Lepisosteus oculatus: one gene and its partners. The protein of the gene in region 2 interacts with the protein of the main gene of each other region in a pairwise test. Links are inferred from orthologs where the notes say so. Each region holds a gene or a part of one and is shown on either strand. Other genes may lie near its edges. The genes, in order: grb7, kctd6a and ctnnd1.

Region 1 (10,270 bases), on a different chromosome or scaffold from region 2:
ATCTTAGTGTCCTGGACACATCTGGTTACAAGTCCTCTCTGCATGATTTCTCTGTACTTTGTGTTACTTGGTTAAATGGGTTGTGGCACTTGGTGTATGCTCTTGGGTATGTAGAATAATTACAGAAGAATAGTACTACTCAACAAAGTAGAATGTAGTTAACTGTAAAATTTGAGGTAGAAGGGACCTCATAAGACATTTTTTTTTAATAAGAACCAACTCACCACATAACTTTTTTAATAAATAATTGAATAATTTATTGATCATTAGTTGTGGAAAATGCAATAATTGTCATGCTTGTTGCTGTAGGTGTATGTTTAAGCACAGCAAAGTCCGGGGACAGTGAGGCCTTTACAGAGAGCTGCTCCCATTCTGTTTACTGTTTTTGTTTGTTTTTTTTATTTTTATTTTGTACAGAGTACCTGACTCAGAGGCATCTTCTGCTGAGGATAGGTCTACAGTTGCATTGAGATGCAGAACCTTATGTCATGATACAGTGGGGGTCGGGTTGCGGTTGGTTAGGCAGTTATGGGGAAAGTGGGACTGACGCTATGATCTTATTGCAGTGCTTGTGTGTCTTGCAGAAGGGCACTATTGTGGTAGAGGGCTGGGCTAAAGAAAAAGGTTTGCTACTCTCCTTTCACATTTTCATTGTTCCAGTGATCCTATTTTTATCAAAGAATGGCCCTGTTTTTTAAGGTCTGGTGGCCATTGTTACGTAGTCTTGATTATTATCAATTCGGTATTTGACTCACACCATTGTTGTGGCACTGAAAGAATCCTCAGTTTGCTGCATCATTAGGTTCTGTAGCCCCATGTGTTACACAAGATATCTTTTAAACTTTTTGAGTTGAGCTACTTCAACTTATTGATTGTTGAAATGCTGAAAGCCACGTCACAGATAAAGCTCTAATAACTTAGTTTTAAATTATGCACGGAAAACCAAAAAAAAGTGACCTGTTACTGAGTAATTTGTATGGGGCAGTGATTATGAAACATAAGGAGATGTTAATATCTAGCACAGCCTTGAGCTGTGAAATGAAACTAGGCTCACCTACAGGTTTACGAGTTGTTGTACAGATTCTCAGGTGTGCAAGGAAACCATGTCTCTCTCGAAGCAAGAAGAGTATGCTATAGTTGCCTCATCTCCCTTCGAGCAGGTTGTCTGTTAAGTGATCTGGGCATTAGTAAAGTTAAACGAATAGCTCAGTCATTACTCTGAATTCACAAAACCACACATGTGGGATCTTGTTCAATGGTTTGAATATGATACAAATAATCCTAATAAAAAATAGACCACCTGTTAAGCTCTTTGTTTTTTACAAATCACTGTATAGTCTTTAAAAATTAGAAGGAAAATGGGTTTCCTATACAAGTGCAAAAAGGTCCTATTAGAGCATATAAAGAAATGGAATCCAATTCATTTACTCCCCATTCCTGTCCAGTGTGCTGAAATATGAGACTCATAAAGTCCATTTTCTGCTTACTAAAAGGCATGTCTAAAGAATTTTTGTATCTTCAACCTTGGATGCTCTAAGAGGGACACTTATTGGTGTAAACGGCTAGACAGTTGTATTTCATTGACAAAAAAACACCAAACCTGTATATAAATAACACAACTCAAGAATCCTCTTCTTCCTGGCCATTTACTACTTTAGATTTAATTTGTCAACTATAATGTAGCCATAGTGAAAGAAAAACAGTGATATTTTTTATCTGTAAATCATTATAAATATATAAACATTTAACTAGGCAGATTAATTTACCCTTTTTCGAATGTGAAGCTTTAAGTTTAAAAAAAATCTGTAAACATTGACATGCAAAAACAAAGATCTACATATGTATTTTTTTTCTTGAACTTTCCCTTTGGTTTTTAGTTTTGTTTTTTTTTAACCATCTTGTAACTCATCTGAGAAATGCACTATAATAAAGAGATCTCTATTACAATCAGTTGTATCATTCAAGTCATTTAGCTTTGTATTTCTTGCTAGCGAGCTAGCAGTTTCACAGGGAGCCAGTCTGGATCCTGTAGGATGGGGCTTTCATGTGGGAGGTGTGGTGGCACTGGTCAGCATCGGTGCCTTGAAGCCCTGGGTTCAGTTCCAGACCTGGGGAGCCGTCTGTGCGGAATTTGTTCTCTCCGTGTGCGTGTGTTTCCTCACAGTCCAGAGCTCTGACATGAGTGTGTGCGTGTGCCCTGTGGTGGGTTGGTGTGCCATCCTGCTGCTTGCCGGGATAGGCTCTGGCACCACCAAACCCCACAGCCCTGAATCGGAAGAAGTGGGAGAAGATGGATATTTGGGAATTATATGTGAATGCAGATTAATTTGAGTGATCACATGGGTCACAAATTTCTGGATATAGTGAAGCCTTAAGTAGTTTTCTAAGTGCCCCGCCCCCCCCACAACAAAGTTTTGTCCCTTATTTCATCCAAGAAATGCTTCGATACTGAGAGGCTGACACGAGAGTCTGAATGCAACAATGCTGTGCAGATACAAAAAAAAAACCACTCCAGTGATGCTCATAACGTGTGTCAAGGGGATTTCTTTAGAAACCCGTAAAAAAAGATGCAGTTTTAATTAACGCAAGGACGACGGGGGCGTACCCTGTTTGAATGAAGACCAGCCGGTTTCTACAGGCATCGTTGAAGGCAACCTGTAAGAAACACATCAGGATCTGGAAGACCGGTTTACAGCACCGCGCCAGGGCCGTCACCTCAATGCCTGACCACACAGGACCGCACTGTCGGGAGATCTGGAGTCTGCACTGAGACCGCACCTGTGCAGGAAGAGCAGCAGTGTCAGCCTACAGGCTGGTCAGGTATATCGGCTGCCAGGACGGTGTTCATTAATTCTGTAACGTCTTCATGGGGATAGCGTGACGTGTTAGATTGAAAACCCGTAACTTAAAAAAATAATAATTCTGGTCGTATTTCCTGTGATTTTGTTCGATATCTAAATTATTTTATTTCTGTTTCTTAAATCCATTAGTCCAGAATTGACTTTATTTTGTGCGTTTATAGAATTAAAAAAAAAACTATCTCGGAAATTCAGCTAATACTATCGACCTTGGCGTTTTGTCAGATCCCTGAATGATGCCCCCCGTTGTTAAGAGCACAGCCCCCGGGACGTGTCTGTAGCTTTGTCTCCCTCTACTGGAATTTCTTTGATCGGTATTTCACCAGGTCAAGGTTTGAGCTTTGAGGTTTGGTCAAATTGATCTATCAAGCGCGTCTGCCTGGTGTAACTCGCGCTTCGTGTCGCGAGTTCAGCGTCGCCTCCTGCTCTAGAACCTGAATTACACGAGCGATTCGGTCTCTGTTGACCGAGACATTTAAAAAAATATATATATTTGTCGTTTCTCGCTCGCTAATATAAAAAAAACGCTAGGCAGCGATGCTGTCGGCTGTCTAATAAACGGATCATGGACATTTCAGGAAAATCGAGAGATTTCGACAGCAATCGACAGTCTTTGTGACTGCATAATCATATAAGATAAGACATTAACAGAGCCTTTGATGTTACTGACAAAGTCTTCAAACGGCGGAACTCGAGTGCAGTAGCGCGCAGTGAAAACCTGCCACACCTGAGGAGACCTGTGGGCTCCTCTGGGGCCCATCGTGACCCTGACACGCATCGTCTTTTTAAACGTAGACATTTGATCACTGATTTTAATGTCACTGGCTGTTTACTCAGAATCCCACTACATTTTAAAGTGCACTGCTTTCAGTTTACAATTTGGAACTTAAGTAGCCCTGGATAAAAAAACAACAACAACAGTATTCATATTACAGGCTCTCACTGGACGAAAATTACGGGATGTCCTGTCTGCTCTCCTGTTGCCGACTGCAGTTTTGGGAGCTGTTAATCAGCCTCATCTAGAGACAGTGATCAGTCCTTGTGGATACCAGTGTAGGACAACGTTTTCCTGCGTTACCGAGCACGTAAAAAAACTGGTTCCGGAAGCGTTCCTGCATCGACAGAATGCCTTTAGGAGTATTCCTTCTACACTCAATAACCAGAAAGTCATGTAGACCTTCATTCATGGAGTTACCGAGTGCATGTTATGCTCTAAGAATGATCAATGACGAGATCGCTGTGGTTTGTGAGACAGCAATCTCTTCTGCACCGTGTCGTGAGACTATTTTCCTTTACAATAAATCGTTGGCTTCCAAATTAAAACGATGACACTACCTTATTGAAAGGAGTTATTTAATATATATATTTTAAAAGGCTTCAGCTGCGGAATCGTGCATTAAATAAATCTTGCTGTCTCCTGACTCGGGGAGTTCGCGGTTTGCGGGACAGACAATTTCCTCTGCAGGAGTGCAGTTCGTCTGTTTTCATCCCGGGCGCAGTTAAACGTTCACGTTGTAATACGAATCACAATCGCGTCCTGACCCGAGAGTACCTGCCGCACACCTCATGTTACTGAGATACCGTCTGCAGCTGACGGGTAAATCACAGTAAAATGGGAGCTCTTAATTAGAAGAGTTAGTGCGCCACAGGGACGCGCTGTCTTTTCTTTTTTTTTTAAGAAAAGCGACTCCCAGGGTTGAGAATTGACTAGAAAAAACCGTCTTGGTCAAACTTCCGGAGTGGAGTGGAAGTGTGCCCATGAACCCGCACGGATGATAGCACCCTCCCCACATCACGACCCGCTTACGGGCGGCCGCCGGGGCCGGGACGGGGTCCGGTGCCGAGAGCGCGCACCCCCACCTGTCCTCGCGGGGGGGGGGCGCGCGCGCGCAGTGGCCCAGCTCACCTTGCAGGTGAGCTCAAATCCGGGGCTCCTCCCGCCAGGGCCGGAGCGCCCTTGAGCGGTGACGACAGCGGGAGAGGCCGTGTGAGCGACAGGCGGTTGTTGAGTGAGGAACAGGATCTCCCGGTTGTAGGTAATTATTATTTCCACCGTCTGCTCCGGCAGCCTTTCTCACGTTTTTCCACGGGGTAAGTTCAAGTTCTTGAAAGCGGAGGGAACAAACGTGCGTCATGTATGTTGTTTCTCGGTTCTGTTTTCTAGGACGTTACGGGAGTTCGTCAGCTGCTGCTAGGCTGTGTTTGAGCTTTAAATGGGACAGTAAGATGCTGTTAGCTGACGAGAGAGCGTATCTCCTTTCTTCCTTGTAGGAGACAATGAGAACTTGAGATGGCGTACTATCCTATCCGTTTTTTTTACTCGCGTCTTGGCTTCAAATTAGCTGTTTTCTTCTCGTTTCTGTGTCATTTTGACTGCGGGCTTCTGTGGTGATCTGCTGTCTTTTAAATCCTTGGTTACAATGACTCAGGGCTGCACCGACCGGTCAAGTGTTAGATTCGAAGTGCTCCACACAGGGATAAACTCGTATTTTAATCCTTAGAGTTGTGGACGTTTTTTTTCTCTCTCCTTTAATCTGTGTTTTTGGAGCCTTCATGCTGTTTCCTTAGCGGTAGCTTGTCGATGTACGGAGAAGAGATGCACGCTGTGAAAGCATGCCTCTACAGATTCAAACTCTTGATGCAAAAAAAAAATCCTTGATCAGAGTAGAACAGACAAGTTTAGGTAGGGGTGTACCTCTTTGTCAAAGTTTAATTGCAGTGTTTTAAAGTGATTTGAGAGGCCCGTCTATTGGAAAAGTTAAATAAAAATTCCAACTGTTTGATGGCTTTTGAATTTGAAATCCACTTAAAGCTATAAAAAGGTGGAAACCAATCCAGAAGGAGGTTTTTTACCCGGTTGCTTGCATGTTCGTGTGCCTGAAGAGACGAGCTTGTGGAACCTACCAGAAGTGAGCTGTTCTGAAAGCAGAAAGGGACAGAAAGATTAAGAACAGGCCATCCGTGAGCAGCGAGTGGGAGAACTCTGGGGAGGAAGCACGCAGAAGTGATTAGATGCCAGCCGTTGGTGGCTGCGCACTTGAAGCGATTAAGGGCGTAAAGGTAAGAGGCAAAGCGAAACGTTGTGAAGCAGAGAACAGATGTCTTCTGCTGAAAGCATGGTGGGGTTCCTGAGCAAGCTGCCCATCCTTCTTGCTCGAGGGAACACCCTGGCCTGCTCGGAGAAGCAGATGGATGAAATCACGGTGTCACTCTCCTGCTCGCAGCTGTCCTTGCTGGATGGGCAGAAGGGCCTCATCGCTGTAACGTTTCTTTTCTTCCTGCAAGAGGAAGGCCGCTCCGTAACGCACGGTGAGCGGGCCGTCTTCACGCGGTTGTGCTTGCAGGCGCCTAAGGGAACGTCGAATGTTAAAACGTCCTGCATAAACGGGACATTGCTTCAAGTGCTGCCTTCACCTGCCCCCAGAGGGGTCCCCGTTCAGTCCTGCCTTGAGCAGCGAGGTTGTGCCCTTTGTGTTCGGCGCTGCTTTCGAGGTGCAGGCTGAGGGGGGGGCGAGCTTTCATCCCGGTCCGTGGCGCGCGCCGAAGCTGTCGACACAGGTGTGTGTTTTTGATCCCCAAGGAAGGCACGTGCCGGAGTGCCAAGATGAAGGCCCAGAGCTCGCAGCTGTCCAAGGAACGGATGCTTCCCGAGTCCTTGGCCTTGAAAATGTGCTCTTCTTTCAGGTTTCTTCAAAGGAAACTTTGAACTTTAACTGTCCTGAAGCACAAGTGCAGTTTACGTTGTTTTTTTTTTTTTTTAAACGAAGACACCGTGCATAAGTCTTGGGATTTTGTCTGCTCCCACGAAATAGGTCAGAGGCCCAGTCTGATTTCTTCAGGTTCCTGTGCTGTGGAAGGTGTCTTCAGTTAGTGTACAGCTGATTTCTCATCTGGTCAATGGTTGTCTGATCTCCCAGCTCTCTGTCTAGCTCCTCTCGCATTGCGTGAGTGACATGGGGGGCAGTCGATGTGTCAGTGGGCCGAGGCGCTAGGCCAGCCAGCCGGGCTGCTCTCTCTCTCGCTCGCCCGACTCTTCCTGCTGCTGCATGCTGCATGCTCGTCCATTTTCTGAACGTTGTGCTCTCCATCCTCATTCTGCAGCCCACTTGCATCTGAAAACGAGTGCGTACAGCTGCACATTGTAAATCTGTATTCAAATCCATACTTTTTAGATCTGACTGTTCTCATCATTGTGCTTTAAAACCAGATCAGGAGAAACTATGTTACACAAATTGTTGTGTGAGTTGGGAATGAACTACCCAGACGTGTTGATACTGATACTCTGGCTTCTTTTAAGAGCCAATTGGTAGAGTGCCTCAGATCAGCTATTCGCAGCCATATGATTTTGATAGGGAAGATGGACCCCTCTCATTTGTAACCTAACTTATGTTCTTACAGAGGGCCGTAACAGGTTGACCACTTTGAGTGGAATCTGGCAAGGACATTTCTGGACCTTCTAAGGACAGGATAACCAGAAGACATGAGAATCTCTTCACCCCAAGTCTGAAAATTGTTAATATTCTCTGACTATATTAGAAGTGGATCTGTTAGTCTGAATCTTTGAATATAAGATAAGATCACTTTATTGGCCATATACAATTTATTGAAGTAGGAATTGGTCTTTTTTTGCCCCAACTTGCTCTCCATGAGACACACAGACAAAGAGAAGCTTGGGGTCAGAGTGCAGGGTCAGCCGTTTATACGGCGCCCCTGGAGCAGTTGGGCCCCTGAGCAAGGCCCTTAACCCCAACGGAGTAGGATTCCTCTGCTGGTTGCAGGGTTCGTACCGGCAACCTTCCAGCCACAGGTGCAGATCCTTAGCCCCAGAACATACAGTAGCATTATTTGCAGATAAACCTGAAACCAAATTTGGGGTACATGTTGAGAGGGGTTTCTTGAGAAGGGGTCCCCCAGCCAGGAAATGTTGCCCACCCCTGTCCTTGAGGTTGTGTGGAGGGAGTGTTTTCTGCATGAGGCAGGCTGGGAGTTTCAGCGAGGCGTGCTGATAGTGAGTCAGTGGCCAGGGGTGAGTGAGAGTGCATTGTCTTAGTCTAAGCCATGTTTCATGTCCACACAAAGAGCAGGTTGTACAGCAACAGCTGCTGTCGATTCCACACAACTGAGCTCATCGCACGTACTGATGACGGCAAACAGAAATGACTAAAAAAACACCTCTGCTGTTGCAAAACTATTATTTCCCTTAAGTCAACCTTGCACCTGAAGTGTAAATACAATATTAAATTACTGATGCCAGTAATTACCAGTAAATTATTCTTACTCACTTCAGTGACTGGAAAGAATGCTCTTTGTCACAGTAATTATTAAGTTTCAGTTACTGAACAAATAAAGTTAAGCAGTCTTAAAACAAAAAAACAAGCTTCTGTAATCTTGGTGTCTCCTGGTGATTTCTCAGTGTTAACTGGGGTAACAAGCTGCTACACTAGCAGGAAATTCCCTAAGGCAAATTAAAGTATTCCAGCAGTAGAAATCTATTGTCATCATATCGTGCGTGAATTTATACTCTTGTGTGGGGGTGGTTTTTGGGGGCCTGCTGTGTTTGCTGAAAATTCCAGAGTGTAACATGGAAAGCATTTTTTGCTGTTTTATGACTGAGAAAACAAATTACCCTTTTTGGAAGATCCTGCAACACTTCGTTGTTCTTTTTATTTTTAAAGAAAGTTAATTAGTTAAGAGTGGTTGAGGTTTTGATATATGTCTGCGGAAGAGTAAATTCGTTGCAGTCTGTAATAAGTTGGGGGGGGGAACCCAGTTTCTTCAGTCCACTTTAGGTTAGTGCAGTTGTGATGGTCCCCCTGCAGAGTGCAGCAAAGGGTGATGAGGCTGTATTGCTGGACTGTGCAGAGAGATGTGCCTGAAGGCAGCTGTCCAGCAGAAACCACGACCAGTGCCACTAGACACTTTAACACTCGTTGTCGGTAAATGCACTTTTATACTTACAAAAACCTCTCTTTGTGCTCCGAGGCTACGGCTGCTGGTTCTGCTTGCCAGTGACAGGGCAGAGGAGGAGATGTTGTGCCTTTGCCTTGTCCGTATTGCTCCAGCCCCTGCTTTTGTAGTTTACTCCTCAAAGCACTCTGAACACGGACCACCCTGCAGCCCTGCACCAGAAGCATGAGGGAGCTTAGCGCTGGCAATGCGTGGATCACATTTGTGGAATAAAAATAGCGTATGAATAACGTCAGCACAAGTGTTAAGACCATCAAGTTCAGGCAGAGCATGGAGAAGACTGGGGGGGTCTGTGCACGTGGTGCTATAAAGAGCAGACAAAGGTCACTCAACCTTCCATGTTGTGCTGTGAGGCATGGGGAGAAATCGCTCTGAACCCCCCCCTGGCACTGCGAGGCCTGGTGAAATCGAGGTAACCTGAGGACAGGGGTGAAAGCTGAAACTGGTGCTGTTGTCATCATTGCGCTCATGACACATTAACAATAACAGGCTGGTGTATCTCGGGAAGCGGGGCAGAATTAAAAATAGATGCCATTTGCTCCTAGTATCTATTTGTTCCCGAAAGCACGTGGTGTTCCGGCAGCGGAGTCTAGAGAAAAGCAGCTCGTGCCAGTGCAGCGCAGCAGACCTGTCCAGACTGTGACGAGCAACATGCCCTACAGTTTCTGCTGCAACAAGGTGCCGGGCGCTTCAGGGCAGTTCTCTCAACGCCTCCTTTTTTTATAATGGACCGGCAAGGTGAATGTCGGGCTCCAGAGTGAAAACTGCAGAAAAGGTAGGATGACTCCAATGTTTAGAGCTCGGTCTTCCTTAGTGTATGGTGACAAGTTCTATACTTTCATTTATGCATACATGTTGCAATAGCATTCAAGAGTAAAACAGCGTAGTGCCTTATTCATTAACATTAAGGAGCTTACTCTTTTTGAGTAAGAACTGCAAGGGAGACATGTTTAATGTTGTTCTGCCCTTGCAAAGCTGTGCTGTGACCTGTTGATTCTCCACTGTGACACTGCTCAGGTGAGCCGTCTTGGTAGTGCTGCGTCTGTTGTTTTCAGTGGTGTGGCCTGGCTGTGGTACAAGACTTCTTAGATGGGCAGGAAAAACTCAGACGAGTTGCAGGCTACAGGTGTCCAAAGAACCTTGCGACCATCTGCAAGAAGCCTTTGGATTTCTGAATGGTTTGAGAAGGGAGAGAGATGATGATCCTGCTGGTCAGTGAGCCAAAAGGTGTGTTTTTGTTGGGCATCTGACCAATCGCCTTACTCATCTAGCTGTCCTGTCACTCAAAAGGTCAGTCGGTCACTTCACGTGAATCACTGAGTGCCGATAATCCTTGATTTGCTGTGTCACTGCTGCCTGTGGTTCAGGCTGCTTTCTGAACCCTACACGTTTCACAGAAGACCCCTTAAAAGCAGAGCTTCCCTGAGACTCTGCCTCCCTTGCGT
Region 2 (10,270 bases):
GTGATATCTTGTTGCTATTTAATTCATTTTCTTCTATCATTCCACTTTAAAGAATTAATGGATAACAGATTTGAACTGGTGTGTTCAGAAATGAGACTTGTCATCTTACCATTATCATTTACTATTAATTATTTATCAATAATTTATTTTTGCCTCAACTTCAGAGTGTTTTATAAATAAACATTGTATGTTAACCCCGCAAATGACAGTAACAAACAGGTTAAACACTTACATGGTCCATATATCCTCTAGGATGTTCATAAAAATATAATCTTGTCTCTCAAACTACATGCAATATCCACTTGGTAGAAGGAAAACTACCAATTACAGACTACCAATCTTACATAACATCTTATTTCCTATTTAGTTTTGCCAATGATTAACCCTTGTTTCAGTAATTATTCTCTAAATATGGTATTCTGTGGCATTGTATAAAATATGACCTTCTACAAGCAGAATACAAAACAAATGTAGGATCTGGGCAAAAACTACTGCATTTAATTACTGAATCATTTACTGGAATCAATTACTGAATTCGAATAGCTAGCTCCTGTCTACATTGTGATGAGAAAGTGGAAATGCTGTTATGCCACTGTAAATGAAATAATAACAAGCTGCAAGACAGACATTCACATAACACATTTACCCCCAAATACATTGACATTTGAGCTCACGGGACACTCCAGTGCGTAAAAACTGTTAGAACACTGCTGCTAAGATTTTTACCCTTTTCTTCAGGTGTTGGTCCGCATTTGGTTATAATGGCCAATAATGACCTCCCAGACTGAGCTGAGCACAGCCTACAGCACTGTCAGACCTCGGCCCATTTGAAAAAGCGGTCCTAAAGCCGTTTTATGTGCTGTCATTCTGGCTCCTCCCTCCCGGGTGTCCCCTTACATTTGACCCTTCAGATTGTCCCCGTCGCTAAGTCTGTTGCTGTCAGTCTTGCCCTTCCCTTCAAAGCGGCCACAGGCAGTATTCCAGACACAGAGTGTCTCCATACTTCTGTTGAGCAGTCTGCAACTTACATTACCTCCATCCTTCCACTTTCTGAGCCCTTTTTCCCCCAACACAAGGTGGCGGGGAAGCCAGAGCCTATCCCAGCAAGCAGTGGGCGCAGGGCAGGGCACACCCTGGACGGGGTACAAGTGCATCGCAGGGCACAGACAAACTCGCACCAGGGCCAGTTCTGCCAGAATCGACCTACCAGGTTGGGTTTATGGATTGAGGGTGGAAAAACCACAAGAACATGGGAAAAACCCACAAACTTCACGCAGATAGCACCCCAGGAATTGAACGCAGGACCCCAGCGCTGTGATACAGCAGCCATGGTTACCTCCTCATGCTGATTTCAGTGTAAGAAAGGTCATAGGTGTCAGCTATTTATGGTTCTGATCTGAGGCTGTCTTGCCCAAGTAGTGTCTAATTTTCTACAAAAGAGAGCTCTGTATCTTCACACCCACCTGGACCAACTGGCCCACAGACTGTCTGGCTCTCCCACGACTTGCATATTTTCAGCCGAGCCCTGTATTTAGCTTTTCAAATATACTCCACGGCGCATCATTGACATACAGTGTTACATATTATAAAGTAGCAATTTACTGCTCTTAATCTGGGTTTCTAAATATAAACAGCAATGTTTTTTGGGAAAGCCATTTTTTTTGTTAAAGCCACATCAGAACAAGGCAGCCACTCAAGTTACACAGCTGCAATCATGCTCAGACCCTACAGCTACATCTGGAGAATGAGCACTGTTGTTTGCACAAGTGCCAAAACACCAGAGGGCTGAACATCCAAACTAAATGAGTACAGCAGAAGTCTATTTTATTCCCTCACACAACTCTGGAAATTACTCAGAGCAGAAAACATTGCTGTGCAGAAGAATTATGTTTCCTTCAATCAATCTGGACTACACTGTAGATTAACTAGACATCAGAGACACTATTAATTTTAGAAGTATTTGAACCATCAGGAATTGCTATTTTTTAATGTCTACTAAAAAAAAAATCTCTACAATTGCAAAGCAATATATTATGATTTAACACACTGTAAATGAGTAGAAAGATTAGAACGCCCACATGGAATAATTAACACTGAAACACGGTTAATTTGTTCATAACAAAAAATTCCAGCACACGCCAGCAGAGATGTTCAAGTACAAAACTGTTTGTGAGCCAGAATTCACTCTATTTATTTGTCCACATGCGAGTTTACATTGAACGATTTCTCAAAGGAATGGACATGCTATGGCAGCATGATTCTGGACCAAAGCCCTGCCGTGCCTTCAGCGAGACTGTTTTATAAGGTTTGGGTTAGTCAGCTGTGATGACTACAAGAAAAGAACCCAGCGATAACCCACAACACCAGCACCACTAAGATCAGCGAAAACACCAGGGGAAGACCAGGACTTTTTGTCCTGGAGCGCACACAAAAAAATAAAATAATTCCTTTTAAAAACACAAATTTAAGCATAGACTGTGAGAAGCCTTGGAAGTACCTTTTTCAAATTGGCAATATGCGTTTGCTACCAATATTTTTCCCGGTTAACAAAACAGCGTCTTTAGATCGTCCTCACATCCAGTTGTTCACCAGGGATGACTGCACAACAATTCAAACCCTCTCACAGACGCAAGGAAGGATCGTCGATTTATTGCATAGGCTCTAAACCAAAACTTCTCAGGTATAATATGTTTCTACCATTTCGCTACATCTATATATAATACTAATGAAAAACATGTATAGTATATTATATCTCCATCCATCTCTTCAGTGTAACACTCACCCAGATGACCCATAGAGGCAATTATGTTTTAGAAGCCAGGTGGAGAAAATGAGAAATTAATTGTATTAATTTACATGGCATACGTTTTTAACAATCAATTATCTAGCATTGCTGCATATGAACATTGGATACCCTTACAATTATGCAGGTGAGTTTGTTGAAGCAGTCTGGGTGATCTATCACGCCCATAAATAATAATTAATAATCAGTCTAAAATGTCTCTTAGAAATATAATCAGTATTACCAACTGACCAAAAGGGCGAATTGCCATATAAACTGTCACAATAAAAAGTGTGAATGATTCCTTTGCTAAAAATGTAACTCAAGCATGAGTACTTGAATATCCAGACACTAAGATGGCAAAGCAAGGACTTCACCATACGGAATAGTCATGAATCCAAATACAATTGTTTAACAGAAGGATTGACATTAATAATCAAGGTGAAATTCAATACAATAGGACTTAAGTTCCCAAAGTAGGCGTTTGTGCTACAAAACACTGGATCATTTACTTTCACAACACTGCTTTCTTTCGCTTTGTTGCGTTACAGGTCAATAGTCTACAAAGATTGTTTTAGCCTTTCTGGCCATGAAGCTACAGGTAAGCCCTGAGGCATACTGTAATGAAGAGCTTTATTAGCTTTAAGGTCTGATAAGTAACAGATTTGCATACATCAAAGGCACTGACTAGACTCTCTGATCTGCGGTTTTAAAAGCCGTTCACCGGCCCTGAAAAGTCAAAGCAGAACGGAGAAGAAAGAGCAGCACCAAAGTCCACACAGTTCAGCCTGGTCAGTGCTCAAAATACGTTTTAAAAAAATCGGTGCTTAAAGGGCAAAGTCAGAAATCAATCCAAGCACCATCAGACCAGTCTGTTGCTGTGCAAAAAAATGAAAGCTTTATAATATCTCCATCATGTCACTCTGCAATTGCAGCCTTCTTTTTTAAGAAATATAGCTGTGTTGGACTTGGTTTCCTCTGTTTTAAAAAGATTTATTTTCTGAAAAAGTAACACAGAGGACACCAGAAATGGCAAACTGAATGCTAGTGAGCCTCCAATGGAGCCATACTCTGTGGTATAAATTCTCCTTTATCCTTAAGGGCAGCCAACATGGAGCTTGCATTCAAAGTCCCGTTGCAGGTACTTGCACCCTTGCACAACATACTCTTCTGGGAAGCTAACCTGTATCCATCCAGTGAACGTGCCCTCTGTTTACACTAGAAATCAGGATTGACTCCAGTTCTAGTCATGGTGGACTTTAATATAATTTTCACACTTAACCATAAGGGGAACATTCAGAATTAATCACTCACTCACCATGTACCCCCAGTCTCCATTATCCATCTGCTCCAACGCTTGGCTCCTTCCCCAGGGACGGAGATGTCGGGCTGAATATTTTTGGTTTCCCCCGTGTAATGCCTCCGTCTTTGTGCTGTTCGCCTGCACCAGCGAAAAACGTAATTATTCGACTAAAGTTGATTCTTAACGGATTTTTTTATCCCTCTCGAGTATTCATGCATAGGTTAAATGGAATGGATGATTCACATACAGACGATCGTCTGTTTTGTTATCCCGTTAACAGACATTACCTGCAACGTGTAGGCAAACGCGCAAATATTATAGGACATTAAAATAGGAGAATGGGTTTGGAATCTATCGCCATGTCGCCCTGCCATGCAAAAGTGAAACTGGAATATTGCATGAATAATTATTAAGCGCGGACATGGTGAAAGTTGTCTGAAGGTTTGACTGCACATTCAAGCTAAGGGTATTCGCTATACTGGATGTGACACGACATGGATAATAAATGATCCACGGATCTGGACATATAAAAATGATCGATTAATCGCATAATGCAATGTAATAGTGGATACTGTATTGGTTTGGTTTTGCTCTGCAGACCACTTTTGAAAACTGTAAAGATGCCGATGCAACGTAACCTCCGCAGGGACAGCTGCAAAGCAAATCATTAAGTCATTAAGCAAGGGGATCTTTTTATCTCACGCTGTGTCAATTAAACAGGCGAAACGTTCACGCAGAGCCGCGTTTCCATCCTTACCCGTTTGTTGACCCGTGATATTTGTCCTCCCAAAATAAGGGAAACGACACTTTGCACCGATTTCCGCGAAGTTGGACTTGGAAGCCTGAATGAAGCAGTGTTACTCCGCCTGTTCCACTGCAGCAACAGAAGAGGGACGAGCAATTACTTTCTCTACGTCTTTTATCGGGTATTCTTCTGCTTCCAGAGGGAGCTCAGGAAGTGTTGCTCATAAAAAAGAGAAAATCCAAGCACATTCGAAGCGCTTTCGGAGGAATGCGTTTAGCGTTCTCTATTTCGCCAAGTAACATCTAAGGTACGGAAGGAACCGGAAACGTGGTGTCTGTTATTGTGCAGCACGTCACCACTAATATTCTTCCACTTGATAGGCTACGGAGAAGTTCCGATGAAAATGCACATTTAAGTAGGAGCGTTGGAGGCTAAACGTGTTTAACAAAAAAAAAGCAGTAAACAAATTTCGCTTTTTATTTCCTATGCATTAACAAAAGTACTATTTTTCATTAGCATGATTTGTGGAAAAAAAAAGCGTTGAATTCGTAATGTAGCTTGTCTCCATACCCTTTAGTCTATTCCTGCTTTCATCTGAAATTGTGTAGGAGGCAGAATGAGCTCATCAGCACAGCAGCTAAGCAACCGTTAACATTACCGGGAAAACGTCAGAGGAATTTACTTTGGGATTGATAGGGGGGAGGTAGGATGTATCTCCCCATTATGATTTAAGCTACTGGTCGTGGTGGAAGTTTCCACTTGCCATCTTATTAAAAACTGAAATGGTTCACAACAACCTTCATTCAATCCTTTCTCTCTTGGGGCCCAAAGATCCACTTTTAATGACAGCCAAGGTGGGACTATTTCTCAGGTGTCATTTCAGTCTACTTGTCTTCCTGCCACATTTTCCAAGATCAGCTTAAAATATACATGCAACTTTATAACACTCATTGGGCATTTCATGACGTTTTCCCCAATGCTGCCTTTTTCTGAAAAGGCAATATAATAGCATATAGTTGGTCTCACTGCACCTTTGTACAACAAATAGAGTAGTTGGGTGCTTTATTAAAAAAGGACTCCAATGGAAAGATCACTTGTAGTTTGGACACAATATAAGGCTTTAAAGTGAAAGTAACAGCTCTTTCATACTTGAACATGTAAGTATATTAAGCTAAATAGAATTGACAGCCACCTGTGAATACAGTTCATTTAAACCTTTAGAGGTCTCTCAAACCATGGCAGAAGGATTACTATTACACCTGCCAAGAAGATAATTAGTGAAGTGTTGCTTGTTCAGGGGCATACCTGTATATTGTTAAATCTTGCACCACTCTGGTATGAGAATGAAGTACCCATTCACACGGCTTTCAGAGCCACAAGTACGGAGGTTAAACCAGCCAACATAACCTTAACAAGTACTTCATCTCCTAGTATTTCACCAATTACAAGAAGTCTGTAGAACTTGGATTACTTTTAAAATCCAAGTTAAGCAACATGCACTGGTGCCTGCTTGAACATGTACACATGCTGCAGGCTAAAACACCTTTATCACCTCATTTGTGCAGAGCCAATACCTTCCAGGAACTTGGACCCAAAATGAAAATTGCCCCCCCAACAAAAGGACAGTTTCTATTGCACATGGCCACATTTTAACATTATGCTTTGTCAAGTTCTAGCTGTAAATTGTGACATTTGCCTTTGTAATTAAAGCTTCACAATAGTGGTGAAATAACTTGTTGAAAGTACCCCCCACCCCAAGGCACACCTTGAAGCATTTTCAGAACAAACATACTCTAGACCTTGTTCTCTAGTATCACTGGACCCACTTAATAAAACAAAAGGAAGCCATGTGGAGCATTAACATCTTTTAATTTGATTTTTCCCCATATTGTTCAAGATTTTAGTTTGCCAGCACCACACCTTTAACCTGTGCGCTTAAATAGTTTAAGGAGAAAAAGATAGATATGGTGCAAGAAAACACTGAAGACTCCAGGTTTTGAACCCAAAATGGCACAGAAGCAAGAGTACAGATTGAATCCATACAAAAGGACATACCAGGACTGTTTAAAACTGTCCTTTCTGCATATTACAAGATGTTCTTTTTGAAAGAACAGAAGAACAAGATGTACTAAGTGCTAGTGTCACCAAAACAATGCAAAGATGAAGTCTGTCACTGTACTTAGACATTCAGGGTCTTTTTCACTGCAAATATTATGTCTTTTATCTGAGGTACACTGTGGTCCTCCAAGATCTTGGCATAGGGCATGGGGATGTCTACCCCCGTTACTCGGCTGGCAGGAGCATCCAAGTAGTTGAAGGCCGGACCTGAAGGGAAAAAAAAAAGTTGAGCACATTCAATTATACAGAACTGTACAGTTGGCAGCTTTGATTAAGTTGGAGCTAACATGGCTGCACAATGCTGGACACATCTTCAAAGCCCAAGTAAAACTGCAACTCTGCTTGAAAAAAAAAATTCCATGGTACCAACTCGCCAACTTCAAACCCCTAAATTGAGGGCCGTTCCCCTCACCAAGCCACCCATATGCTTCTATGCAAGACCCAGGTGGCTGCAGTTACCACTAAAAGCAGCATTGACACTTTGGAATTAAGTTTGATCACATTGGATCCAAGGTGGAAACATCTTTAGGATGGCGAAATGGCAAAAGATTCATTCATGCTTCCAAAAAGAAATTTGGCAACTTGTTTCAGACATTAGCCAGGGGAGAGAGTCTAAACTTGCCTTCATCTGGAGTGTACATCTGGCACAATGGCCATACCCAATTATTTTGTTTGCAACTAAAAAGCTACAACATGCTAATTCTTGCCAAGTGACTCCCTTCTAGGATAAAGGGTGGCTCAATTTCCTCACAGAAATACACAAACTGCAGTTCTGGGTTTACTCAGGACATGTAGCCCCACATTTAGAGTGGTCAAAAAAAAAAAAACACATGCTACTTTTAAGATCCCTATAGAGAAATGAAACATCCACACCATGTTTTGCATTGTAGGAATGCATGAGCAAGTTACCTTCCATGATCCTGGCACAAACTTCAGCTCCCACTCCAAACTGTGGCCATCCCCCCTCTACAGTCACTAGATGGCTGGTCTTCTTCACACTGTTTTCAACAGTCTCCATATCCAGAGGTCTAATGCTGCGAAGGTTAATGACCTGGAGAGACCATTACAGTAGATCACTTACTGTTCTCTTAACATGTAGCTTCAGTAATTGCTCCCCACCAAGATCCCTTTTTGGGGCAGGGAGGGGGCTGGAGACACTTTGCTACAACACCTGTACATCTGCTATTTTCATACCCACTGGTCAAAGCACCACCATGCCTTACAAGAGGCAGACACCAAGACCATCTTTAACTCCGTGAGCATATCACAGCTGAGGACTAGGGTTCAGCAATGGCCACATCTTCCCTAGGCTTAAGAGGGCAACATGAAATTTGGAATTAAGTAGATCTTTAAATCCACCACTAACTTGAGTTCCACATTTCACAGAGGAGACCTTGAAATGGCAGGAGATGTTTGTAGAACACCAAGTCTAGAGTGTATGCAGTTAAGACCTTACTGGCTTTCATGTAGTCAAAGCATGGATGGCTTACCTCACACTCAATACCTTCTTTTGCCAAAACGGCTGCAGCTTCCAAACAATGACCCACATACCGAGAGTGTGAAACTAGTGTAACGTTAGATCCTGAGGGGGAAAAAAAACTAGATTAATTCAGTCTACCAAAATCTTCAAACCCTGGGTAAGGAATACAGGACTGCCAATTCTATTAAACTTTAGAACATGCAATTAGACCAGTTTTAGATTTTACTGAAGAGTCTTGGGACCATAGTTCTCCAAGACCAGGATTGAGAACCTCCAACTCAAACCCTGGAGCTTCTGCTAACCAGGTTGCTCCATACATTTTAACCCATATTACAGTTCAATTTGTATTAAAGTTGAATGTTCTCCAACTACAAGACTATCCCTCCACCTGGAGATGGATTTTAAAATCCCCCTATAGAGCAAGAATTAGGGTTTTCATTTGCACCCACCTTGTCTTTCTATTTTAGCCTTTCCAATGGGTATGAGGAAGTCCTTGGACTGGGCTTCTTCAGACATCTCAAACGGTACACTATACATCATCTCATTTTCCAAGAACACCACTGACGGAGAGGAAAGGCACAATTTTAAATTCCACATCTATGCGCTTGAGGCAGGCAGACCTTTGGGAGTTGTAAAGATCAGTACTTTGATTTTTCTGTAGGCCACTTAAAATTGACTATTCCTTCCCTCATTGTATGTAGTTCAGGGTGGGGTCTATAAACCACCAATCCCGATTATCATAATGAGATTTAGATTTCCTTAGCCAACTTTAACAGTTTCATTTTGAAATAAGTCTAAAAAAAAATCACCTTAATATCAAATGCTGAAGAGTATAAACCAAACTGCTTTTTTACAGCATGTTAACATAGTATTAAAGTCCTAAAAAAAAAAGTCTGCCCAATGAGGGAGTAAAGAGGACAAAACATTAATGCCCTAGAGCTACAGTACCTGGATTATCATCTCGAATAGCCGATTTCAGCAGACCCTTGGCATCCTCAGCATTCCAAGGGCTGAGCACCTTCAGACCAGGGCAGTGCCCATACCAAGCTGCAAAACACTGGGAATGCTGGGCTGCCACCCCAGCAGCAGCTCCATTAGGTCCACGGAACACAATGGAGACAGGCTGTATACCAGAAGACATGTAGTAGGTTTTGGCAGCCGAGTTTATAACTTGATCAATGGCTTGCATTGAGAAGTTGAAGGTCATGAACTCACAAATAGGCCTCAAGCCAGCCTGGAAAGAAATCAATAAATTGGCATCATGTCAACATTTGACAGTTTTATACCAGTTGTCACATTTCCTCAACACCAAGGTCAGACAGCCAAAGCTGTTCACAGACATGTGGCTAGTGATAGTAAATCAGACACAGGTCATTGGCCAACATTCAGATTGTAGAGGTACAGATGGATGCAAATGTTTTACAGAATGCAACATTAAGGATACCATTTGTTCTTCATTTAGAAAATTGAAGTTGACAAGGGGTTCATGGCTAGCAAGGCATGAGGGAGGTTGGAGAGAGACATGACAGCAATACTTAAGTCATATGGACTTCTAACGAAAAGAAGTCAACTCACCATAGCAGCACCAACTGCAATGCCAGCAAAACCCATCTAGAAGACAGTAACATGCCACATTATCATAATGAACAGCAACTGGTTAAGAAAATCCCCATCAGCATTTAAGAAGAGAATGCTCACCTCAGTAATGGGAGTGTCAATTATACGTTTGTCCCCATATTTCTTCCACAGTCCTCTGCTAACCTATAAAAAAAAAAATCAGTAACAATGGCAATTAAGTCCAACACCCATGTGGCACAAGTCCTTTACAAAATGTATTTCCAC
Region 3 (10,270 bases), on a different chromosome or scaffold from region 2:
GTCCTGACTGGAGGATCTTATCCAGCTGTACACTGACAGGAGCCCAGATATCGGCTTCAACACCACCACTGGGCAGCTTGTTCCACACTCCCACCACCCTTTGTGTGAAGTTACTCCAGCTCTTAAATTTTAAGGCTCTTCCACTTGTACTCTGATGTGCTGGCCAACAGCAGGTGTTTGAGGGCACTCGCAGAGAATCGCACATCCGTAGCTGCACGAAGCCGATGAAAAGATCCGCAACCTCACCAACCACAGGAAACCACAGTGGGCCAGATTTTGGCTGCTTATCGCTGCAGATCTGCACTATCTACTGCTCTGTCTCTACTCCAGCTGTGCGCATGTACATACAGTGGCTTCTCTGAGGGAAGACGCGCACCAGTGCGGTGTACCAGCAAGCCAGGCCCACGGCTCCTTCCCCGTATGTTTCTCAACGGGCAGGACAAGCCCCGATCACGAGCGCGCACACAGCCCCACCCCCACCTCAGCGCACCGTGCGGAAACCCTGTGAGCAGTCACACCGCCCGGCAAGCTCCGACACGCTCAGGGAGAGGGAATGCACAGATAAAGAGAGACGCAGGGGAGATACTGGAACCGGAGAAAGAGGGGAAAGTATTGAGCACAGCGGCTCGCAGACTGAAAGAATGTTTAGGTAACAAACAAGTGGCAGCCATTTGACTCCTCTTTTTGTCTGGTAGTTAGCTGATCATTGACCTGAGGATCTTGACAGAAACCGGGGTATCGGCTTCTGCAATATGGGTGCTCAGACCTGCTCCACACTCCCACAACCCTCGTGCAAAGCAGCTGCTCCTGTTCGCGGATTCACGCGCACCGCTCCGGAGTTTGCCGCTCGTGTCCTCCGGTTCGCGTTTCGCCGACCGTTCGGAAGCAGCCCCCAGGGGCGAACGCTAAAACCGTCACATTAAAACCCGTGTCCTCTCCGGCACGGCCGTCCGATGAGCTTTCACAGACCGGACCGAACTCAACATCGTGGGGTCTGTACTTCGGGGCCGGCTATCCAGCAGCGGCTCGGGTCCCACAGGTCCAGCGGTCCAGAGAGTCGCTGACCCACCGCGGCTGTGCGAGACCCCTGGAGCAGCAGCAGCGCGGCCCCCTCTGCGCGACTCTCCCGCTGGTCCCTCTGCTCACGAGGCCCCTGGGCGTACAGCACCGCCGAGCCCCACACGGGCCACTGCCGACGATCATGGTTACCGCCGCTGCGTTTCCGGGGCAACAGGGGACCAGGCGCGGCCTGAGGACAGACGGTAACCATGACCGCGAGGGATGGGGTATACCAGCGCCTACGCAGGTGCACCGGGGGGAGCTGCACAACAGCACCCCGAATAGCCAAGGAGCACCCCAAGGAAAGTATCGCGCCCCGCGGGACAGAGGACGCACGCTTGAAGAGCACGAGAAAGCCCTCCCTCACGGGACAGCCACAGCACCGACGCACGGGCAACACCCCGGCTCACCACGGACCTGCCAGCTGACTAGCGCGCCCCGCGGGGAGCTGCCCGGCAGTCCCCACGCCGCTCACAGAGCCGCGGCAAGACCGACCCACGGGCCCCGCCGAGGGGCTGGGAGAGGCTCGCTCACGAGCCGGACCCGTCCACCGCTCCTGGGCCACGCCGAGTCGGGAAGAAGCCCGTCTGCGCGTGCTCACTGCCCCACTGTGTTTTCAGAGCCTTGCCGAGGCCCAGCGGGGGCCCTGAAGGCCAGATCCGCCTGCGGTCATCTCTCCCGCCGAGTCCTGGGTCAGGCCAGGGCTACCCTGACCGACTGAGCCCCACCTGAGATTATAACCTCCGAGCCTCGAGCCTCTTTTAGTCTCAAACAGGGACATAACCCCTCTGTCACCACACTACAGAGAAGGCAGTGCTGCTCTGGAACGCGTCCGGAGAGGAACACCCGAGACACGCCCGGGCTGCAGGGAAAGTCCTGCACTGCCAGGCCGGAGGAAGCAGATCGAGACGGTCTTGAACGGTGCAGACTAGAAGCGGAAACAACACAAACTTTCACAATTTACAAAGGCCCGAGCAACAGGCATTTAAAACCAAAACCAGGAGGCACGTCCTACACAAAGGGTTGTGGGAGTGGGGAACAGGCCACCCGGTGCCGATGTCTCATGCTCCAGCGTTGCTGGACTCGGGGCTTCCCTGTCCCATTGGAACACGGCTCTACTCCTACTGCCAACACTCCTCCTGAAACCTGGCGACACTCACGTTTCACACAACGATGCTGCTGGAATGACTGTCATCCACGCTGGGACCTGACCTGCAGGAATACAGGCCGGGCCAATGAGACCACAACGCCACAGAACTCCGGCAGTGAGAAGCTACAGAGGGAGCATCTCCCACCAGCCAGAATGTGATCAGTCTGACTCCCCCCCCCCCCCCCACAACACACACACAACTCCTCAACGGGGAACCCGGGCCCTCCACCACAACCCCAGACCACATCAGACTGGTTCCACCGGCATCCCTTATCCCCTGGACCTCAAAAACACTTCAACCACCATAATCGCTCCTCTTCAGTGTGTCTGGACTGTATTAACCCCTCTCTCTCAGTGCAGTGTTAATGTCCTGTAGTGTCCAGTCAGTGTGTCTGGACTGTATTAACCCCTCTCTCTCAGTGCAGTGTTAATGTCCTGTAGTGTCCAGTCAGTGTGTCTGGACTGTATTAACCCCTCTCTCTCAGTGCAGTGTTAATGTCCTGTAGTGTCCAGTCAGTGTGTCTGGACTGTATTAACCCCTCTCTCTCAGTGCAGTGTTAATGTCCTGTAGTGTCCAGTCAGTGTGTCTGGACTGTATTAACCCCTCTCTCTCAGTGCAGTGTTAATGTCCTGGAGTGTCCAGTCAGTGTGTCTGGACTGTATTAACCCCTCTCTCTCAGTGCAGTGTTAATATCCAGACTGTACTGTATTAATGAATAGTCAGCACGTTTCACATGAAAACTCAACTCTACTGCGGGACACAAAGATTCAGTTTTCTCCTGCAGACGATTTCAAAATAGCGTTATTGGACTCTGAACCCGGAAACCTAGGCGAGATGACGAGCGAACTACAAACATCTGGCCTCAATAACGAGGCTGCGCAGGGAGCGCAGAGGCCGAGGGACTCTTATCTCGACAGCGAGCGCGCCCCCGCCGGGCCCGGCGCAGGTACAGGTGAGCTGTAATGGCCGCTGCCTGCTGCAGCTCCGCCCCGAACCGGCCCAAACGGCACCGGGCCAGGCTAGCTCCCGCCCTCCCCAGCACAGCTCCAGCGCTCCAGATCCACAGCTGCCCCCCCTCAAAGAACCGCGCGCACCGAAGAATGCGAACGTAAGAGGTCGAGAACTCCCAGCTATCGCGCGCACCGTGCGCGAGCCCGTGGCGAGGGCTGGGGATCCCTCGGGCTGCCGCGAGCCCGGAGGACCCGCGCGGCCTGGCCGGGTCATCGGCGCTTCGCTTCACCCACTCGCGCTCCGGCGGGGTGCGTGCGCGAGCACGTCGCCTCACAGACCCACCGAACCGGTTCGCGAGCCGCCCGCAGCGCCACCGGTGACCGCGGCGAGCTGTGGCGTCACACTCGCGAGTCGGGACATGCTGGGCGGTGTGTGTGGGGGGGGCGGGCGGCAGTTTCGGCTCCAGCATTTCAAAACAAGCAAGTCGAGGGGGGAGCGGCGCCGGCGAGGACACACCTGGCGACCGGGCCCGAACCCCCCCGGCGCTGGTGCCTCCCCACACCCCTGGACCCCCGCAGACCTTTCTGCTCCACCGCCACCCGCGACACCGTCCTGACGCCGTCAGTCAAAACCACAAGAAAACTCCGGCGAAGCGCTGAAACTCCAACTGTAACCGCACACACGGCGGGCCGCCAGGTCCCCGGTACTCCGGCTGCAGCCTGGACACACACACACACGGGGGCAGGACGGGCCGAGCCCTTACCTCACCTGGTCCCGCCGGGCGCGTCGCTGCTGTCCGGCGCCGGAACCGTCGGTCGTCACTGGCTCGCGCTGGGCGTCACGGTCTCTCCCCTCGCGGCGACGTCCCGCTGCACGAGTCCCCCAGTCCGCCACGCTGAGCGAGAGGCAGAGAGACGGCAGGGCTGAGACCGGCGCCCGGGAGCCGCACCTCCCAGTCCCTTCCACAGCCCACACTCAAGCTAGGGAGAGCGCTTTTATTTTGAAGCGGCGAGGTGTCCCAGGGACAGACGGACATCTTCGGGCACTACCAACAGTAGCTTTCTCCCTCCTCCCCCCCACCCACCACCCTCACCGTCGGTTCGCGATAATCCTCCGTCTCCCTCTCGGCATACGTGTTCAAACGGCCGGACACGCCGCCCAGCCGCGCGAGAACGCCGGAGTTGGGGCTCCGCGGTTGCGCAGCGAGTTTCTGTGTGGAAGTGGGCCTCTGGAAAAGAGGACTCGGGCGCCGCAACCACACGAAAGCTGGGGCTCGTTACAAAAATAACTAGACAGCGGGCAACAGCGTTCAAGTTAGCAAAGAAAAGACGAAAATCTCCACAGCGGAGAGACGGCGCAGATTTGCTTTTAGGGAAAAAAAGGGGGGGGCAGAGAAACTTCGGACCGTCAGGAGCTGTTCCTCCTGCGCGTCTCTTCCTTTGTGTCTGCCTTTTTTTAAAAAAATAAATAAACCCGTCCCCCCGACCCGGTGCGAGAGGAGACGTGCGCCTGCGAGAGCCGCCCGCGGCCCCGACTCGCCCCGGCCGCTCGAGCGGAGCCTGCCGGGACGGGGCTCGAGCCAGCCAGCCAGCCAGCCCGAGCCGCTCAGTCTCGTGCGCCCCGACTCCCAGGCACTTCCGACATCCACCCGCCGCCGCCGCCGCTGAGACCTACCTAGGAGCCGTCCTCTCCCGCACGCCGAAATCCTATCCCGGGGAGGACTCGAGTGTGCCTGTGTGTGTGTGTGTACGCTTGGCCGTGTCTCCCGGGGCCGTGCGTGAGTGCGTGTCCCGGGCCTGAGCGCTGCCGGGGCTGCTCCGAGTCTGTCTCTCTCTCTCTCTCACGGTTTTTCCCCGCCGCCGAATTCGGGCGTCTGACTGTACCGACTCCGCTCCGCGACTACATGGGTGTGGACACCCCAGCCAGAAAAGGAAGCAAGCGAGGAAGAAAGAAAGAAAACAAAAAAAAAGGACTATCCCCTCCCTCTTTTTCCCCACCTCTCTTTCTCTGTCCGTGTTCCCGTCTTTCCGCTGCTCCGTGTCCCTGTCGACTCTCCCTGTTAAAGTTGGAGCCCGTGAATCTCGCGCAGCAGGGCTGGGAGGGGGATGTGTACAGGGGTTACCGTAACGACCGGGGTAGGTGGACACCCTAAAACCGGAGCGCGCCCGGAGGCTCGTCTGTCCCCCCCGCTAGCGCCTGGGCCTCCTCTCAAGTGTCATTAACGTATACCCTATTTAGAAATACAGAACAGCAGCCCAGATGTTCATTTTGTTTGATAGTTTTGATGACGTATTTCTTGCATACATGTTCATCTTAATAGAGAGGTTGGAAGTGGAACCAGAATTGTTTGCGAGTTCCCAGGACTGAATAAGAATCATCATTATCATAATAATAATAATACGTACAGGATCTGTGTTTCTGCTTTTATTCCATACGCTTGGAATATAAGAAAACAGACTCATGAGCTCATTGTTTAGAGGTGTGCGCATACCCCGTGTACTACGGTACCCCCCAGGGCGCGGCAGCTGGGAGCGGCTCCCAGTCCAATGGGATCCTCCCATCATTCTTTCGGGAAGAGAGGAGGAAGATTAGCCCGAAAAAAAAAAGGGAGGGGTGTGGAGCCGACCAATAGCTAAGGCGCTTTTTTTTATCCGACGTGTTGCGTTCCCTCGCCCTGCTCACGAGCAGGCTCGGCGAGCTCCAGTCAGGAAGTTGCGCCCTGGTCCTTTAATTAAGCGCAGACAATTACAGCCCGCGGTCCGGGGCGTGTCGAGCGCAGTCGGCGAGAGTTCACGAGCGCCACACGGCGGGCGGGCGGAAGTCTGGCTGCGCGGGGTCAAAGAGCGCGTGTGGCGATATGCAAATGAGCGCCTCGGCCCCTTGTTCTCGGTCAACACGCCGGAGCCCGACCCGCCGGCGCTTTCACCTCCCCAGTTTCAGGGTGTGCGCTCACGCCTGCCCCGGGAGGAGTGTGTGTAGCTTGCAGCGTCTCAGGGAGGTGAGGCACTGTGCTGTAGCAGCAGCCCTCCCTCAGGTGAGCAGTTTAGCTGTGATCAGGTGGGGTCCTCTTCTGGTCTGTGGCTTTTCATCATCACCTGTAACAGAGATAAATGAATGGTGCTGATTAGCGTTGGTCATGCACAGGCTTGTTCAACAGGCTCTGCTGTGAGAAGCCGGATTGTGGGATTGTGTCTCCTTTCCTACAGTCTGGACAAGCGTGTGTCTGTTCACTGGTCTCTGAGCCCCAGTGCTACCTGTTGTCCCAGATTATCCCACAGGTGTCCACTGGGGCTCCAGTGCACAGCATCTCTGTCACTCTCTGCTCTCTCAGGACAGGTGTCCACTGGGGCTCCAGTGCACAGCATCTCTGTCACTCTCTGCTCTCTCAGGACAGGTGTCCACTGGGGCTCCAGTGCACAGCATCTCTGTCACTCTCTGCTCTCTCAGGACAGGTGTCCACTGGGGCTCCAGTGCACAGCATCACTGTCACACTGCTCTCTCTCAGGACAGGTGTCCACTAGGGCTCCAGTCCACAGCTTCACTGTCACAGTGCTCTCTAAGGACAGGTGTCCACTGGGGCTCCAGTCCACAGCTTCACTGTCACTCTGCTCTCTCAGGACAGGTGTCCACTGGGGCTCCAGTCCACAGCATCACTGTCACAATCTCTGTGCCTCTGTTTCTCAGTTTATATGGTCTGCCCTGTAGTTTCCACCTGTGTCCTCTGGTTCCTGTTTCCCTGTAGATCCTGACGAGCTCCGCTGGGCTGACTTTGTCAATATATTTTAATTTTTTTCATTTACTTGAATCAAGTTCCCTTATAGTCTTCCCCATTCAAAACTAAAGAGATTCAGTTCATTGTCCTCACAATTTGGAACAACAAAGAAATTGGATTGATATTTTTCCCTATCTGCACGTACATTGAATATCATCTGCCAGGTGTTTACCCTGTTCTGACGTCTATTTAAATCCTTTTTAATTGAATTTGGGAGCTTCTGCAGTGTCCGCTAATCCCCCTAATTAGGCATGATTTTACTGCATTGATCTGTGTGCAAGTGTCTCGATTGTTTTTACCACGTTTCATGGTAAAAAGCAATGATGTGTCATGAAAGGTGCTATATCCAATGCAGATCAGATGCCACAACAATGGAGCAAACCTTTTAGTAGTTGGCTTTGGAAGCCAAATCACAACCTGTTTAATTGGCTCCGCGGTTCAGAGCAAAACCCAGGAGACAACAGGTGATGAGTCTGAGAGCCCATCTTTCCTGGGGTCCAGTGCTTAGTGACACTCCCTCTCCCTCTGTCTCCCTCTCGTCCCTCATCCTGCGGCCTACTCACAGAGGCCTAAGCTTCTTCAGAAAGTCCAACAAGTTCCTGGCGATACAGGAGCAAAAGTAAGCAGAGCGTGTTGGCGTGGACTTGTGAAGGTCCTGCGCTACAGCCACGGGCGCCGTGTGAGGCCGGATTGTTTCTGTGTGCGGAGCTCAGCCCCCTCGGGGGAGAAGTCGGCCAGGGTGATGTCATCCTTCATGGAACAGGCACACAAAGGAAAGGGGAAGTGGAATTGTTTAGAAACGGAAATTATTAACATTCCACAATCCCGAGGCCCAGCCGCAGACCGCCGTGACCGCTCGTCACGCGCTGGCCTGGACGCGCACGGCACATCACGGCGACCCGCTCGGAGCGCGAGGGACTGGCCGCCGACCGCAGCGCCGCACCGATACGGAGGTCATCGCCGGCCCCCTGTGTCCGCAGGGGCGGGGGGGGGGTCAGGCTCAGACCGTGAGAACATAAGAACTGTTAACTAGCAAGGCCAGGCCCTTCAGCGCGTTGGGTTAGTAGTTAAATGATCTGAGAAGCTCATCCAGCTCGCTCCACACTCCCACCACCCTTTGTGTAAAGCAGTGCCTCCTGTCCTGACTGGAGGATCTCAGGGTATGAGTTCCTTCAGCCTGTCAGTGTAGAACTTTCCCACAGGTCCTGGAATGGATCCCTGATGAGTACTAAAAAGAAATCAGGGCCATAGCCCTGAGGAATGTTGATTTGTTTGATACACGGCTGGAAAAATAATAAGATCACTTTAGTGGCCATATACAATTTATTGCATTAGGAATTTGGCTTTTCACATACCCCAGCTTGCTCTCCATGAGACACACAGACAGGGAGAGAAGCTGGGGGTCAGAGCGCAGGGTCAGCCATTTATACAGCACCCCTGGAGTAGCTGGGGTTAAGGGCCTTGCTCAGGGGCCCAACAGAGTAGGAGTCCTCTGCCAGCTGTGGGATTTGAGCCAGCAACCTTCCACAGGCACAGATCCTCAGCCACAGAGCCACTGCTCCACCCCAGGGAATTAACTAGTAGCCATCTGACATCTACCAATTTGTCGGAGCAGAGGTGATTTAAAAACAACTCCCGATACTTTTCTCATACCGGATGGCCGTTTATTTACGTCTGTAACAACTGTATTTTAAGTATCGGAAGAAATGACAGATCATTCTCTCACGATGTTGCAGGAAAACGAGTCAACATGAGTCACGGAGCTCATTGACACCTGTCCGCACAGGCTCCTCCTGTGTGATGTCAGAGGTAATCTAAAACACACTGCAGCAGGGAACCCGGTCACGGTCCAGCCCGCTCCGCTCCAGGGCTTCGGCACACCCAGCAGCCGGACAATTACAGACAAGGGCATAAGGCAGCAGCTGAATACGAAAAAATGCTGAAATACTCAACAGTCCGATATTAATGAACACGTGTGTGTGACAGAGAAGTTTATTCTCCACTTCCTCCTCCCACTACCACTACTCATAGTGACACACCCTATACAGATAGCACGGCAACTCGGCGTTTAACAGCAATCACGCTGAGGTAACTCCGTGAAGTTGACCCCCCCTCCAAACAGCACAAACGGTGAAACCCACCTCATTCGTTTGTGCCGGTTAGTAGCGTCTAGTAGAAAGCAGCGTCTGTGCTGCTTTCGTTTCCGAGATATAGCGCCCTGTTTCTTCGGGGTCGTGACGTCACTCAGCCCCTCTACAATGTCGTAGGGAAACCAAACCGGTCCCATTCGTTAGTACTACGTTTATGCCGGTTTGTGCCGTTGAAAGTAACTTCCCAGCTTCTTTCTTTCCCGAGATATAGCGCCTTCTTTGGGGGGGGTGACGTCACTCAGCCCTCCTACAATGTCGTAGGGGAACCGGACCGATCTCAATCGTTAGTGCTGCGTTTGTGCCGGTTTGTGCCGTTGAAAGTAACTTCCCAGCTGCTTCCCAGCTTCCCAGAACATGTACAGATACATGCTCCACCTGTATGAGTTAAGCACGAAGACCTTCTAAAATTTCTCCTGTAAACAAATTACAAGGTTTGAAATGCATGAACAACATTAAGATAAAATATTGAAGGAGAGATGCGAGTGTGCATTTTACAGATAACTATTCGATATCGCCTCTAAATGACCTGCAGTATTTTTAAGTAAACGACGTTTACAGAGCTAAAATACATCCAAAGTATGTATTTGACGCTTTTATTAGCAGACCATTCTTGCACTTAAAGGTACGATTAATTGGTTAGCACTGTAAATGGACTATAACAATTCAGTGTAAAGTCTTGTGGGAAGTCACGAATTTCCAAATAAGGTGTCTTTTGGCAACGAAAATAGAACACTAATTTCGTGGGTTTCATACAAGTTTAAAAACATCATGAAGGATCAAACAAGATCTTCAGAACTTAATATTTTAATACCTTCGCAGTTTTTATTCTCATGGCGCCTCACTCGATATTACCCTCGGGGCGATGCATTTACTCCAGCCTCTGAAACCCATACGTGCGTGCACCTTCTTCTGGTATGTTACGCTGAAGTCCGCTGAATATTTAAAGGCAAGGTAAAAGCCAAGGTAAGTTGGCCCCCCTACAAACAGCACACACGACTAAACCCACCTCATTCGTCAGTGCTACGTTTGTGTCGTTGAAAGTAGCGTTTGTGCTGCTTTCGTTCCCGAGATATAGCATCTTGTTTTGCCGGTGATCACGTGACCATGCACGGTGACTTTGACCTCCAGTGACCCCGTCTGCCGAGTTCAAGCGCTCTGTTAGTTTAGCTCGTACCCTTAACATTGTA

The links.
Region 1: the proteins of kctd6a (region 2) and grb7 interact in binary tests that used the Homo sapiens proteins (3 or more experiments, as listed by UniProt). The two-hybrid records come from large-scale screens. The link is inferred for Lepisosteus oculatus from reciprocal best matches to the Homo sapiens genes KCTD6 and GRB7.
Region 3: the proteins of kctd6a (region 2) and ctnnd1 interact in binary tests that used the Homo sapiens proteins (3 or more experiments, as listed by UniProt). The two-hybrid records come from large-scale screens. The link is inferred for Lepisosteus oculatus from reciprocal best matches to the Homo sapiens genes KCTD6 and CTNND1.

The regions. Positions count from the first base shown.
Region 1 is NC_090723.1:3,853,326-3,863,595, forward strand, and holds the start of grb7 (growth factor receptor-bound protein 7), read left to right. Parts: upstream 1-5,226; 5' UTR 5,227-5,918; intron 5,919-7,150; exon of another isoform or gene 7,151-9,390; 5' UTR 9,391-9,600; intron 9,601-9,880; 5' UTR 9,881-10,021; coding exon 10,022-10,052; intron 10,053-10,270. UniProt on the Homo sapiens protein: Adapter protein that interacts with the cytoplasmic domain of numerous receptor kinases and modulates down-stream signaling. Promotes activation of down-stream protein kinases, including STAT3, AKT1, MAPK1 and/or MAPK3. Promotes activation of HRAS.
Region 2 is NC_090699.1:56,362,779-56,373,048, forward strand, and holds the start of kctd6a (BTB/POZ domain-containing protein KCTD6), read right to left. Parts: upstream 5,500-10,270; 5' UTR 4,843-5,499; intron 4,224-4,842; 5' UTR 4,128-4,223; coding exon 4,101-4,127; intron 1-4,100. Other genes in the region: pdhb (pyruvate dehydrogenase E1 component subunit beta, mitochondrial), read right to left, coding at 7,010-7,155, 7,858-7,999, 8,439-8,530, 8,878-8,988, 9,377-9,662, 10,004-10,039, 10,127-10,189. UniProt on the Homo sapiens protein: Probable substrate-specific adapter of a BCR (BTB-CUL3-RBX1) E3 ubiquitin-protein ligase complex mediating the ubiquitination and subsequent proteasomal degradation of target proteins.
Region 3 is NC_090701.1:41,498,659-41,508,928, reverse strand, and holds the start of ctnnd1 (catenin delta-1), read right to left. Parts: upstream 4,710-10,270; 5' UTR 4,293-4,709; coding exon 4,255-4,292; intron 4,057-4,254; coding exon 3,930-4,056; exon of another isoform or gene 3,925-3,929; intron 1-3,924. UniProt on the Homo sapiens protein: Key regulator of cell-cell adhesion that associates with and regulates the cell adhesion properties of both C-, E- and N-cadherins, being critical for their surface stability.